Rattus norvegicus: one gene and its partners. The protein of the gene in region 3 interacts with the protein of the main gene of each other region in a biochemical or structural test. Links are inferred from orthologs where the notes say so. Each region holds a gene or a part of one and is shown on either strand. Other genes may lie near its edges.

Region 1 (4,010 bases), on a different chromosome or scaffold from region 3:
ATGACATCAAGATTGACCCTGCAGGCCGGTGACCTTCCAGCACCTTGGGATGCGTTTTTTGCCTTCTCCTTCGGAACGATATGATGGCCTTTCAGGGCTTTGGTTTACAGTGTGGGGAACCGCCAGCAGGCTAAATTTTGCCTTCTATAGGTCCATCCTGCCCATAATTGTGAGGCATTTTGTTCAGAGATAGCAGTGGGCCATCTCCAGTGAGGGACTCCGAGAAGCTGAGTTTGCGGAAGGATGTCTCCACACCACTGTCACACACGCTGTCATTATCTCGGAGCTCATCTGAGGAGAAAGCACAGATTCATCAGGGGCTGAGCTAGGCCATGGCGAGGCTTTCGTTCTGCCTGCTGTCCTCGTGCCCTTCAACTGTCAACCTCACACTGTCTAGAATCACCTGCAGAAGGAGGTGCAAATGAGGGACCAGCCAGATGAGACTGGTGTGAGGGCATGTCTGAGGGGACGGTCCTGACAGTTAACCGATGTGGGCCACTGTAGACAGCACAGTCCCGAGCTGTGTAAGAAAGCGAGCTCAGCGTGAGCCTCGAGGCTGCCAGCTGCAGTCCTCAATAGTTTCTGACTCAAATTCTTTGAGTTCCTGCCCTGTCATCCGTCAGTGATGGATGACCTGGCAGCTGACAGAAACCCAGAGAGTGTAGTCACAGCACCATACTAGAACTAGAACACCTTCCACAGCGGTGGAAGCGGGGCTCCCTTCCCAGGCTCTGCGGTGGGCTACTGTACGGAAGGATATGCTTCCACCCAGCACACGTCCCGCCCCGTGCCGTCCATGTTGCTTGGCCGTGTGAAGGGCAGGCGCTGTCGAATGACGTTAGGCACCGCTGCAGGGTCAGAGCGGGCCAAGAGTCCATCTTTCTGTTTGTCAGAATCTGCTCTGAGTTCTCTTGATTCAGAATAAACACGTTTTCCTTTTTAAAATGAGGCGTGTTTTCCTAACTGCTCTATTATTTTACTTTCTTACAGCTGGGGAAACTGCTGAACACACGGCAAAATCAAGTCCTCAGAGAAGCAGGAACTAAAAATGACGCCTCTCTGCGCTGAACGGACTTTTAAATAACACGCAGTGCGGAAAATGGTTTTTCTGGTGCAAGACAATGAGGCTGTTTTATTAAAAAAAAAATGTATCTATACTGAAAGCTTATCCCCAGGGATCTGACCAGAGCAGATTATCTCTGTATAGAGCAACTGAAGAAACAGAAGTCCAACACTGACTAAGCAAAAGGCTCGAATCTCGTCACTGAATCTTAGTGTCGGAACACTGAGACTCCATGGCCATGCCTGAGTCCTGTGCCGCTGTTAACTCAGCCAATCAGCTGTCTTTATTTGCTGTTATGTAACGGGGCCTGTGCAGTATTTAGAGGCTTACTCTTTATCACAATGCCCTACAAAGGCGTGTGCTAAGTAAAGGCCTGGCTTCCAGCCTGTGACTTTCTTTGGAGGTGATGCAACTCTTTGAAGGTGGAGCCTCAAAGAAGGAAATTCGGTCATTGAGGGTGTGGCCTTGAAATAGAGCCGGTGCTCTGGCTCCTCCCCATCTCTCTGCACTTCCACACCCCTGGACAATGAGTAGGATTCCTCTACCCCATGCTTCCTCCATGATGAAGGGCTTTGCTCTACCCCGAAGGCAATAGAAATTATAAACTTCGTGCCCAACCAAACCTCTTCTTGTAAGTTGGTCATAACTAGGGAAATGCAATACAATATTTAAGAATTCACTTTGTGTTTGTGGGATGTGTGCACATGTGTGCATGTGGGGAGAGGTCGACATTGTGTGACTTCCTTGGTCCTTCTCCATCTTGTTTTTTTGAGACTGGCCAGTGAGCCCCATGGATCCGCCCCTCTCAGTGTCTGTTCCTCCTCCATGCAGACTACTGGGATTACACATGTTTGTCACCCTCCTGGGCCCTCCCAAAGATACAGTAGAGGTCAAAGTTAGGTTCTCACCCTCACTGTGTTCCTAGCTGCTAAGTATTTAGTTTTTGATTATGATAGGAGCCCCATCACGTCACATCGGTGTGGTGCAGAGGACAGATGGAGGGACGGAGGGGACAGAGAGGCTGACTAGGAGCCACTGTGGATTTCAGGCAAGCATTGAGGATGGGCTGAGCTGGGCATCTGCCATGAGGTGAGGAAACGTTTGGGGTTGAACCTGAGGCACTGGATGCCAGGAAGATTTTGTCATAGCCTGGCTATGCTTTTGACAGACGTGGCCAGTGTGAGTTTGTGCAAGAGTAAGGAGTTGTGTGCAGATGATAAAATTTATTCGACCATAAAGAAAGATAAAATTTGCAGGGAAATGGATGGAACTGGAGAATACTAATCAAGGAAGCCCAGAGACATAAATACCGTTCTCTCTCACGTGCGGATCCCAGCTTCCAACAGTCACGTATGCGTATTTATGTGGGAGTGAGTGTGGGCAGAGGCCAGAGAACTAGAAGGGGCCTTCAGGGGGTGGGAAACAGGCTTTAAAAGGATGTGAGCGTAGGGAGGGTAACAGAACACATGTGAAGGTGGGGAGAGAGATGGGGAGACAGGGAGGAAGAGGGTCCAAGTGGGGACACGGGGCAGGGGCAGGGATGGGGGATGGGAGGCGTGGAGTTGTGAGAAAAAACCAGAACTAAGTATGTATAAAAAGGCTGTAAGGACACCAGTGCACACATACATGAACATGTACACACAGGCCTCATACATGCACAGATATACAGATGTCTCTGCAGAGGAGGAAGCTTAGGACTGGGCCTGCCTATGCACAGTGGTAAGGAGGAGGCAGCAGGGTGGGTGTGGGTGACAGAATGGGTGCGAGGTGACGAAGTCCTGAGTAGACACTGCTAGTGAGGGCTATCAGCTATGACTGCTGCAGCCACAGAGGAGCAGGATGAGGGCCAAATCAGGCAACTTGGAGGAGAGCCTAGGAGAGGTGGGGACCGAACCGGACACCAGGGGTCAGCAGTGAGGTAGGCAGTGGCTTTCATACTCTTCTGAGAATCCTGAACTCAGCTTAAGGATGTAACAAGGAAGTGATGTCTTATTTTTCTCTACATTTCTGATTTTAAAGATGAGAAGTTATATCCTATCAACTAGGTTATCCACAGCAGGTGGGGAAGGAACGGACAGAACAGGACAAAGAGACAAGAATTGGGTATCCAGGGCCTGCTGAAGGTGGTAGACAGATTCCCTGGGGCAGACACCACCTTCTGAGCCCTCCCGCCTGGGTACTGCTAGCTTTCCCTGGTTTCAGTGGAGTTTTGTGGTTAGGGTAGAAAGTGAACAAAAAGAAAGGGTGCTGAAGTTTGGACAAAGCACAGACAGAGTGCAAGACATAATTCAGGGTCTGTCCCAGGATCCATTTGTACAGATGTATGTGGGGGGACGACAGGAAGGCTGTTACTGTGGGGAGACAAAGTCAGGGCCACGAGCAGGGCAGGAGCTGAGGGAAGGAGACTCCCGAGGCGGGGAGGAGGTGGAGGACCCAGGGGTGGTGGCCCGGAAGGAAGGGTCATACAGTATGCATATTTTCTGGGTCCTACTCGTTGTCCTGTGACCCCTGTGGATCTTTCTTAGAATCTTTCTCTAAATTTAACAGGTATGAGAAGCAGTGTCCATTGTTTCCTGGGATTCTAAGTGACACATATGCCAATGTGAGTGTCTGTGGAACTGCCGGTCTGTGTGTACGGGAGCACGGCGGGGACTGAGCGGCATGCCACGTAGGAAGACCTGTCCAGGAAAAGACTAGGGAAAGGAAGTGTCGTGCCATGTCACAGGGCACAGAGACCCTGCCGGAGAGGAAAGGAAACCTCTCAGCCTCTTTACCTATGTGCTGTCTTGTGGAGGAGGACGAGAGAGGCAGCAAGTGGGCCTGAGCAGTGGTCACGGGGCTGGAGGCTGTGGTTTCCGGGGTGCGGAAGGCTGCCTGGATCACTTCAATGGCCTCTGTGTAGCCCATCTGTCGCAGGGCCTCCACCAGCTCTTTGATGGTCCCCCCA
Region 2 (4,010 bases), on a different chromosome or scaffold from region 3:
CGGTTAGCTACCGGAAGCCTCTCCCCTTCTGTGCACACGCTCTGTATCTACAGTGCTACATTCTCTGTAGCTGAAGCCCTTCCTAAAGAAGTGTTAAGGCACTCAGTCCCACCATGTATGACTGCTGGTAAGAAAGGAGCTCAGGATGAAAAATCTCAAATAAAATACAATTAACTCACTGCACCTATATTTTTCTTCCCAAAAGAACAAGTGTTAAAAATAAAATTGAACCGTGCTTAATATGTAAAAATAAAAAGGAATCTGTTTCTCAGCATCGTAATTTGCAGTTTTACGAAGGGATGAGACACTCCATCCCTTGACACAACTTTACAGCAGTCCTCCATAAACTCTTAGACACTGGCCGAAATGAAATGTTAATTTTTCACCAATTTCGTGTTCTAGAATATAGGTTTGGAGATTTTTAGTCAATGTTTTCAAGAATTTATGTATTAACTCTAAATGACTTCGAAAATCTGAAACCCTAGGACCACAAAACGAGCCAGCTGCTCCCAGTTCAGCATAGAACCCGAGCAGGAGCGCACGCTGCTGTGGTGGAGCTGCCGCTTGTTAAGACGGAGGCAGCCGAGGCTGGCCTGAGACTCACAAGCCCAGATGCCGTGAACTCAGGGGCCTTCTCCTGCCGTCCAGTGACTGTGCCCACTACAGCAGTCTCTCCTCCTCTGGACAAAACAGGTCAAACTCACACAGCCTTCTACTTCCTCACCTCTGTTTCCAGACTTCAAGCAACAGAGGTTTGTAAGCCTAAAATATTTACACGTAAAGAGGACTGACCTTTATATACGCACTCGGGTAGATCTTGTGGACGGCGTCACCAGGTGCTCGGCCAGCTTCACGGTCCAGGTAGTAACTCTGCACGAAGACGGCGTGGTCACTGAGGCACCTGACCCACACGTCCCCTTCACCTTTACACTCCAACTGCACTCCTTTGCCTATGTGCAACCTCAGGAGGAAAGACAGAGCCACATTCACCTCGTTACAGCCTGTCTCAGCTCAGGGCACAGCCAGAACAAAGACTGTAAGACAACACCTCAAAGACAGCCATTGTTAACAACTCTTACACAGTACTTACTATATAATAGTTCTCATACAAAGTTCATTTAACCAAAATAACACAGTGATGTAAATTCTATAGTTTTAAGATTCTGTGTGTTTTGGGAGAGGGCACCATGAAGGTCAGAGGTTGGCATCAGACCCTTTGGAGCTCCAGTTACAGGCAGTTGTGGTGCTGAGAACTGAACTCTACTCAGACAGTAGCATGTTTTTAATGACTGACCCTCTCTCCAGCCCTATATCACTTCTATCACAAAGCCATTTAAGATCTATGTAAATTCAGCTATTCACTCACATGAGCAATGCTTCAAGTATTCAAAAGCCATTTATGATTACCAGCTGTCGAATGGGATAGCAGAGACAGAAAGCATAGTTATGAAGCAAAGAAAGCTTGCTTTTTTTTTTACCTCTATATTTAGCAAGTACCTACAATTAAAATGGAAGCTCACAAGTTCTAAGTATTGAAAACGACCTTAACTCTATATTTAAGACTCCTATTCATAGAAAAACAATAGTCTTGAATAAAAGTTAATGTACTATTCAATTTTTACCATACCTTGCTCTCTCAATAGCTTCTGTCCTGTGGACATTGGAGAGTTGACCCAAGCAAAAGCGATCTCCTCCAGAAGGATCCACGTATCCATCCACAGTTACAATAGGACAGCTTGAAGGGACTTTAAATGTCTCTCCTACCTGAACATCCATTTCAAAGTAAGCAATGGAACACCAATATTCAGGAGCTGCAGAAGACAAAGGAAAAGGAACATGCACCCCTGTGACAGGTATTAGGGAGGGAGGCGCTGACTACACCAAACAAAACTAAACCAAGATGAAGGGGTAATGGGGTAAGGAAATGAAAGAAGTCTACTAAAAGAACGTAGTACACTTAAAGAACAGTGATTTCCACATTATACTCACAGTACTTATACCCTGACACTCTAAGGACCAAGTCACCTGAGAACTTAACAACATCAGAAATCAGACTCCAGCTGGGTGGCAGTGGCGCATGCCAGCACTTGGGAGGCAGGGGCCAGGGGCCAGGGGCCAGGGGCCAGGGGCCAGGGGCAGGCAGATTTCTGTGAGATAGGCCTGCTCTACAAAGAAGGGCTCCAGGACAGGCAGGGCTACACAGTGAAACCGTGTCCTGAGAAACTACATAACTAAGTCAATCAGACTCTAAAATAAACTGTTATTATGATAGTTCATTCTATTGCACATCTGTTCTGTGGTCTGAATTTTCAATTTTAAAAACTACACCAGCCCTAATACATAGTCTTTGTTATGTTTTTACATAACAAAGGCCCTAATTAGAAAAGTCCCTAAATCAACATATTCCTGCTTATACTTAAAATTATGTAGTTATTTTACAGGGAGATTACTGTCTCTCAAAAATCAAAGGTCATTCGCCCCACGTACACACCCCATGTATGCACGGTGTATTTCTAGCAACTGCTTCAGTGAAGCAGTACAACTTCAGCTCTGAGCACACACTTAGCTTGTCATGTGATGACTGTCAGGTGGCGTGGGGGAAGAGACAACACTTGGTTTGGGTTACAAATGTAGTTATTTACTTCTGATTCTGTTTGTGTTATTAAAGGAAACTCATACATGTAATTTTTTGTTTTCCTTTTATATTTATTTACCACCTATCAGGAGAATCTTTTGGTGATACACGGAAAACAGCAAATGAAAGAGTTTCCAGTCCCTCACAGATCTACCTCAAGCAGGTTCAGGTCAAATGAACAAGTGAATGTGAAATGCACATCATGAGTAACATTGCAGAGAGAATCGGAGGGGAAGAGGGAGGAGGGAGAGGAAGGAGAGGGGAAGGGTAGGCAGTGGAGGAGGAGGACAGACGGGGGTGTAGATAGGGTGGTAGAGGAGTGTCACAGAACAGAAGATGGCTGGAGGTCACCAGCTTACAAAGTTGAGGGACAATCTACCCGAAAAGTTGGGACCTGAGTAAAAAGCTCTGCACTGGCCCCAGAAGAGGAATTTATGAGAGACTAGAAAAGGAGTAACAGTTCTGTCTGCAGACTCCTCTGTATCATGGTATGTTATAGTACATAATAATCTGAATCAAAACTTTCAACAATCTAAAACATTACTTAACATGACAAAAAAGTCCCTCCCAAGGAAGTAATGACACTTAAAACTTAAAAGGAAATAATATAAATATAATACTAATGAATGAATTTCCCAAGAGAAAAATGTAATTGAGCCGAGAGTGGTAGATGTACACCTTTAATGCCAGCGCGGAGGCGAAGGCGGAGGCAGAGGCAGGTGAATCTCTGTTAGCTCAAGGCCAGCCTGGTCTACACAGTGAGTTCCAAGAAAAACAGGGCTATGTAGGAAAAAAGAAAAGAAAAAAAAAAAAAAGAAAAGAAAAAATGGAAAATTTTAATTAAAAATAAACAAACAAAAAACCTAAACAAAACACTTTATAGGATGCTGGTTAATACTGTCAACAGGATCTACAGTCACCTAAAAGACAAAGCTTTGAGAATGTCTGTGATAGTCTCTATACTGGGTCAATAACTAAGGTAGAGAGACCCACTATAATGTGAATGGCACTAGTCTAGAGAGGCTACCACTCTGGACTGAAACAGGAGGGGAGCAGGGCACAGGTACTGCTTCCTGACTACAGATGTAATGTGCTCAACTCCTAACCCTCTTGCCACAATAACACCCTAACTATGACAAACTGCACCCGAGCTGGAATTAAACCTTCCTTTCTTATGTCACACATTTCCTCAAACAAGCACAACAGAAGCACAGTACTGAAAAGTGGGGTCATTGCTGTGATCCGCTTGACCACGGGGTTCTTAAGCCTCGGGAACAAAGAAGAATGTGGAAGTTTGGAACTTTGATCTGGAAAAACCCTAGAATGCTGGACACGGAGCTTAAGGGGTCATTCTGGTTTAAGTTTGAAAGTAGAA
Region 3 (4,625 bases):
AACAAAACAACAACCAAAAAAAGTTGAATGGAATATAAACTTAAAAAGAGCAAAAAATTAACCCTCACTACAATGTTAAGAGAAGAAAAGTTACTCATATTAATATAACCCTTAATACTAAGAATAAATCAATCTCAGTATTGAATTTTTTCACCTTTAAATCTCTAGTAATTGGTGCAGGTCAGTGGTGGCACCTGCCTTTAGTCCCAGCACTTGTGAGGTAGAGGCTGGTGATCTGAGTTCCAGGACATCCAGGTCTACACAAAGAAAACCCCAGCTCCCAGCCCCCACCTTCGCCCCCTCAAAAAAGACTCCAGTAATTGCATTCAAAGATATGCAAAGCAAGTTTTGCTTTTTTTTTAAACCATGAGTTAGCCAAAAGCTATACAATTTAGCAAAATACATAAATCAGACCAAGAATGCAATAGTCCACCTGAACAGAAAGGTATGAACAGACTTTAAGATTGAATCACTCAAATCAGAACATCAAAAATTTTCATTTTAAAAAGTTTTCCATACAATATTTCATGTTACTGGTTATGTCAAATTTGGCAACTTGTGAACATATTACAGAAGTACATTTATTATGAGGGTAGGGAATGAAACAAAAATGCAAAGCGAATGTGTCTATAAAATTAATGTCTATGCCTATGAATTTTAAAGACATACTTTTAAAAAATTTCTTTAAGACCTCAGAAACTTTACAGCTGAAATGCTCACATATAACTAAAGTTAGAGCCTTAGAACATTGCCAGACTCATCCTCCTTCCCAACTGTTGCAGCTAGCAAAACTCATGGTTCACAATACAGCTGCTAAAAAAGCAGAGTAAAGCACTAGTTCTATCTTATTTTCATGCCTTCGTCATAAATCCTACTGAGAAACATGGCCCACACGTTCTCTACAACTCGCAGGATACATTTAACTCCATTATACACTCCGCGGGCAGATCGAAGATGTTGAGCCTGTTCTCTGAGTTCAAGAGATGCTTGTAGTAAGGGGGAACATCTTGTGGACTGTCAGATGACCAGTCATTATTCTTCATCATCCTGGCCTCTCAAACAAGTCAGACAGCAAGAGGACCAGGTCGGTGATCATCAGAATAACACTAAACTAACAGTAAGTAGAAAAAAGAACAGACGGTGGAAAGTCTCCCTGCAGGTCTCCTAACAAAGGGGCTGACTGAAGAAAAGAATTCCTTGATCTTGAAAACTGAAATTGCAAAGGTCCAAAAAGTAAATCAAAATAAGCATACAAGCACAAAACCTACTGTACATTTTCAAACTTGTACAGTCACTTTAGTTGGAAGTTCATGACTGGGACTCTTTCAACTTCTTATCTCCATTTCTAAGTACCTAATTCCAGAAAGGCTTCATCTTTTCTCTTTCCCTTCTAAATAAGAAGGGTGACAACAAACTGCAAGGGAAATGCCTCAGGTCTCCTCACCTGATCAAACACCCAGTTTGAGACATTTTGGTTTCACACCAAATAGATATAAAATAAACTGCGGTCCATACTGATTCTTGAGCCAAGGATGGAGAGGGGACTTAAAAAACAGTATTTTGTTGAACTTTACGTTACACTTAAAACCTTGTACTGCACACACCAAGATTTGTCTTCCACCCCCATTCCTTAACAGAAAATCTGCTTCACAGGAGTAAAAACCTTTAAAGGTGGAAAAGCAGAGGGAAAAGAATTAAGTGCAACAGGGGAGAAAGATTTGAAAACCTCATTCGCCAGTAACAAAAAATAGTAAAAGTGCATAAAAGCCCTTACACACAACTGTACCGGCATTTCCCAAATTAAATTGCATGGAGCCGACAATAAAGGTCCATGCAGCTCCCACTTCCAAGCTCTTAATTCCAGAACACACAACCATCTGACATGACATAGTGTTGCAATGAATGTATCAGAAGGCAAAGAAAATGGTTGGGCTGCTGGACGTCTTCAACCAGTCCATTCAAAATCCTTTAAAATTAAACACCGGCCGGAGAAATAGGAAGAGATACACAGAAATACCCTAGAATGAAGGTGCAACCAGCAGAAAAGACGAAGGGAACTATGGAAGGCCGGGAGTCCCGAGACTAACCTGTGCCATCGCTGGCGGACGCCGAGAGGGCCGGAGATGAGAGTTTAGGCCGCTTGGCTGAAGGCGGCCCGGGTTCCACCACATTCTCGGCCATTTTTAATTCTTTCGGAGATACAACCGAGGAAAAAAAACGAGAATCCTGAGGAAATCTCTTCTTCGAAACGGGGTCCCCGCCCCGCTCCTAAGGGTGGGCTCCGGAGCTCCGCCGCCACCCAAGAGGGGTGGGGGAAGTTCCTTTTTCTCTTCGCCTGGTTGCGGTGGCCGGAGAGGGATGCGGACTCAACAGAAATGGTAGGGGCAAGTGCGAGGGGCCGGGCCTAAACCAGGCCGGGAGGAGGGTACAGCAACACTGATCCCACGAGCACGTCCGCTGCAGCGAATTCTCGGGAACTCACAGCTCTACAGACGCAGTCCCCAGCCCGCCACAGCGAGTCCCTGCCCAGCCGAGGTCTCTCGGAGCTCCGCCGCCGCCATCAGCCTCTTCCTCCTCGGCGCTGTCCTCCTCCTTCTCATCGCCACAAGGAGGCGGGGGCGAAAAAAGGGGGAGAGGAGGAGGCGACCAGAGACACTCACCTCCTCCCGGTGCCCCCTCCCGGGCTTGCGCCCCCACCCTGCGAGCCCTCCTCCTCCTCCTGCCGCTGCGCTCTGCGCCGCTGCTGCCGCACCGGCCCCTAATGGCCGCACTGAGCTCACCCGAGCCGAGAGCCAGACTGGCGCCGGAGCCACCTCACATCGCGCAGCGGACAGCGGAGGCGCGGCGACGAAGCCGAGCGTGGAGCTCGCCGGCCCGAAGGGCCAGGGGGGCCGGGCCGAGCAGGGCGGCCCGCCCGCAAGCCCGCGCCGACGCCAAGCCCACCGACGCGGCCTCTCCGCGCGCCGCGCTCTCCGCCTCCACTCGCAAGCCCGTGGAGGAGAAATAAGTACGGCCGCCTCTCTGGCCCTCACGCCCGGCAGCCAGGTGCTGGGAGCTCCCGCCCCCCCCCGGGGGCTCGGCTCGGGGGCCGCCCTGGACGGCGGGCGAAGGCGCCGCGGGGCGCGGGGTTATGTAATGGTCCCCCCTTAGGCGTCGACGCCGGCCCGGGCTGCAGTGGGGGTGTGTGCGGGCAGGAGGGGGCTAGGGGTCGCCTCAGCCTTTGCGCCCCGGGCCCCCAACCACTGTCTCGGTCGCGGCCGCTGCTCTCCGGCCTGGTACCCCCCGCACTCCCTGCTCGCGCAGTTCGCACTCAGCCGGGCGTCCCGCTTGCCCCACTCTCGCCCGGTCCCTCTCGCTCTCTCCTCCCCCCACCCCCCCACAGGCTAGCACACAAACAAGATGGCGGCTGTTGTTTCTTGCCTCTGCCGAATCCTCCTTACAGGATAGCGGTAGCGGCGGCGGCCGGAAATGAGCCAAGATGGGGGGGCGGGGGAGTGGAGAGGGGAGGGGCCGAGGAACCGGGGGCGGGGCGAGGGCGGGGCCTCCTCCTTGCAGCTCACACAATGGGGGAAGCGGCGCCTGGGGGCGGTGCCGGCTCCAATCACGGGATCCGCCCAAGGGCCCAACGCGGTAGGCGCTTCCGCAAACTCCCCCGGCGTCATTCGGTGGCTCCCTTTAAAGGGGAGGTCTTGAAAGAGGGGGGCTCCGGCGTAGACTTAGAACGTATTTTCGGTCGGTGGACACTTAGGTTCCTGGGCTGGGTCTTTGCGCAGAATGTAGTCGGAGCTCTGGCGCTCCTCTGTGAAAATGAGCAGAAACAAGTTGGAGCGCCCGGGTTTTGCCCTCTCCGGTTGATCTTTGGAACTCCATTAAATCCGCCAAGCACCTGTGTGTTCAGGATAGAAACATTCCACACTCTTCATCGCCTTTTCGAAAGGAGCAGTTCATTTCTCAAAGTCACATTGCTAGTCCTTTAAGTTTCCTCTTGAAATGTCTGATTCAAAAACGAAAAATTTGGACTAGGATAATATTGTTAGAAAAATGGGGTGGGGAGGAACCACAGCAGTGGGAGGCTGTTTAGGACTAGACCGTACATGCATTTTTTTTTTTTTTTTTTTTTTTTTTGCCTATTATGTGTCTACACATCCTTACCAGCAACCACTCTTAGAAAAAGAATCCTTGAGAATATTTTTCTGGACCTGCCTGAAACTTCCAAGGTCTTTTGAAGGTATTTCCACCCATCTCTAACAGATGAACTTAATAAAAGAGCACTTTCTGCAGTGCCTTAAATATAAATATGGGAGAGGACAAAAAAATGTCAGGTGCTAAAAATCCATAACTCTAGAAAAGAGTGAGGAAATGCTCCTAAGAAGCTAGTGTTAGAGCAGTCCAATTCGAAGCAAAAAAGTAGGGAGCATGCTTTTAGGGTTCTCAAATTACTGGATTTCTGTGTTTGGGACCCTCAAATATAGGGAAAGTACCAAGGCTGTATGTGACACTGAAGGAAAACTTCCAAGATATTACCTACTGGATGGGTAGTAGGCTTGCCTATTCTTCCTGTGGCCTGAAAAGTTCAGTCACCAGTACTACCAAGAAAATAAAATTTTTTTTCTCAGATTTGTTTT

Evidence for each region. The genes of interacting proteins can lie anywhere in the genome.
Region 1: the proteins of Ep300 (region 3) and Nfkb1 form a complex in vitro, tested with the Homo sapiens proteins (2 studies listed by BioGRID, with this or other methods). The link is inferred for Rattus norvegicus from reciprocal best matches to the Homo sapiens genes EP300 and NFKB1.
Region 2: the proteins of Ep300 (region 3) and Smad4 form a complex in vitro, tested with the Homo sapiens proteins (2 studies listed by BioGRID, with this or other methods). The link is inferred for Rattus norvegicus from reciprocal best matches to the Homo sapiens genes EP300 and SMAD4.

Annotation. Positions count from the first base shown.
Region 1 is NC_086020.1:226,690,298-226,694,307, forward strand, and holds part of Nfkb1 (nuclear factor NF-kappa-B p105 subunit), read right to left. Parts: coding exon 3,838-4,010; coding exon of another isoform or gene 3,551-3,837; exon of another isoform or gene 292-3,550; coding exon 131-291; 3' UTR 1-130.
Region 2 is NC_086036.1:69,525,520-69,529,529, forward strand, and holds part of Smad4 (mothers against decapentaplegic homolog 4), read right to left. Parts: intron 1,812-4,010; coding exon 1,628-1,811; intron 962-1,627; coding exon 793-961; intron 1-792. UniProt on the Homo sapiens protein: In muscle physiology, plays a central role in the balance between atrophy and hypertrophy. When recruited by MSTN, promotes atrophy response via phosphorylated SMAD2/4.
Region 3 is NC_086025.1:114,986,383-114,991,007, reverse strand, and holds the start of Ep300 (histone acetyltransferase p300), read right to left. Parts: upstream 3,152-4,625; 5' UTR 2,182-3,151; coding exon 2,088-2,181; intron 1-2,087. UniProt on the Homo sapiens protein: Functions as a histone acetyltransferase and regulates transcription via chromatin remodeling. Acetylates all four core histones in nucleosomes. Histone acetylation gives an epigenetic tag for transcriptional activation.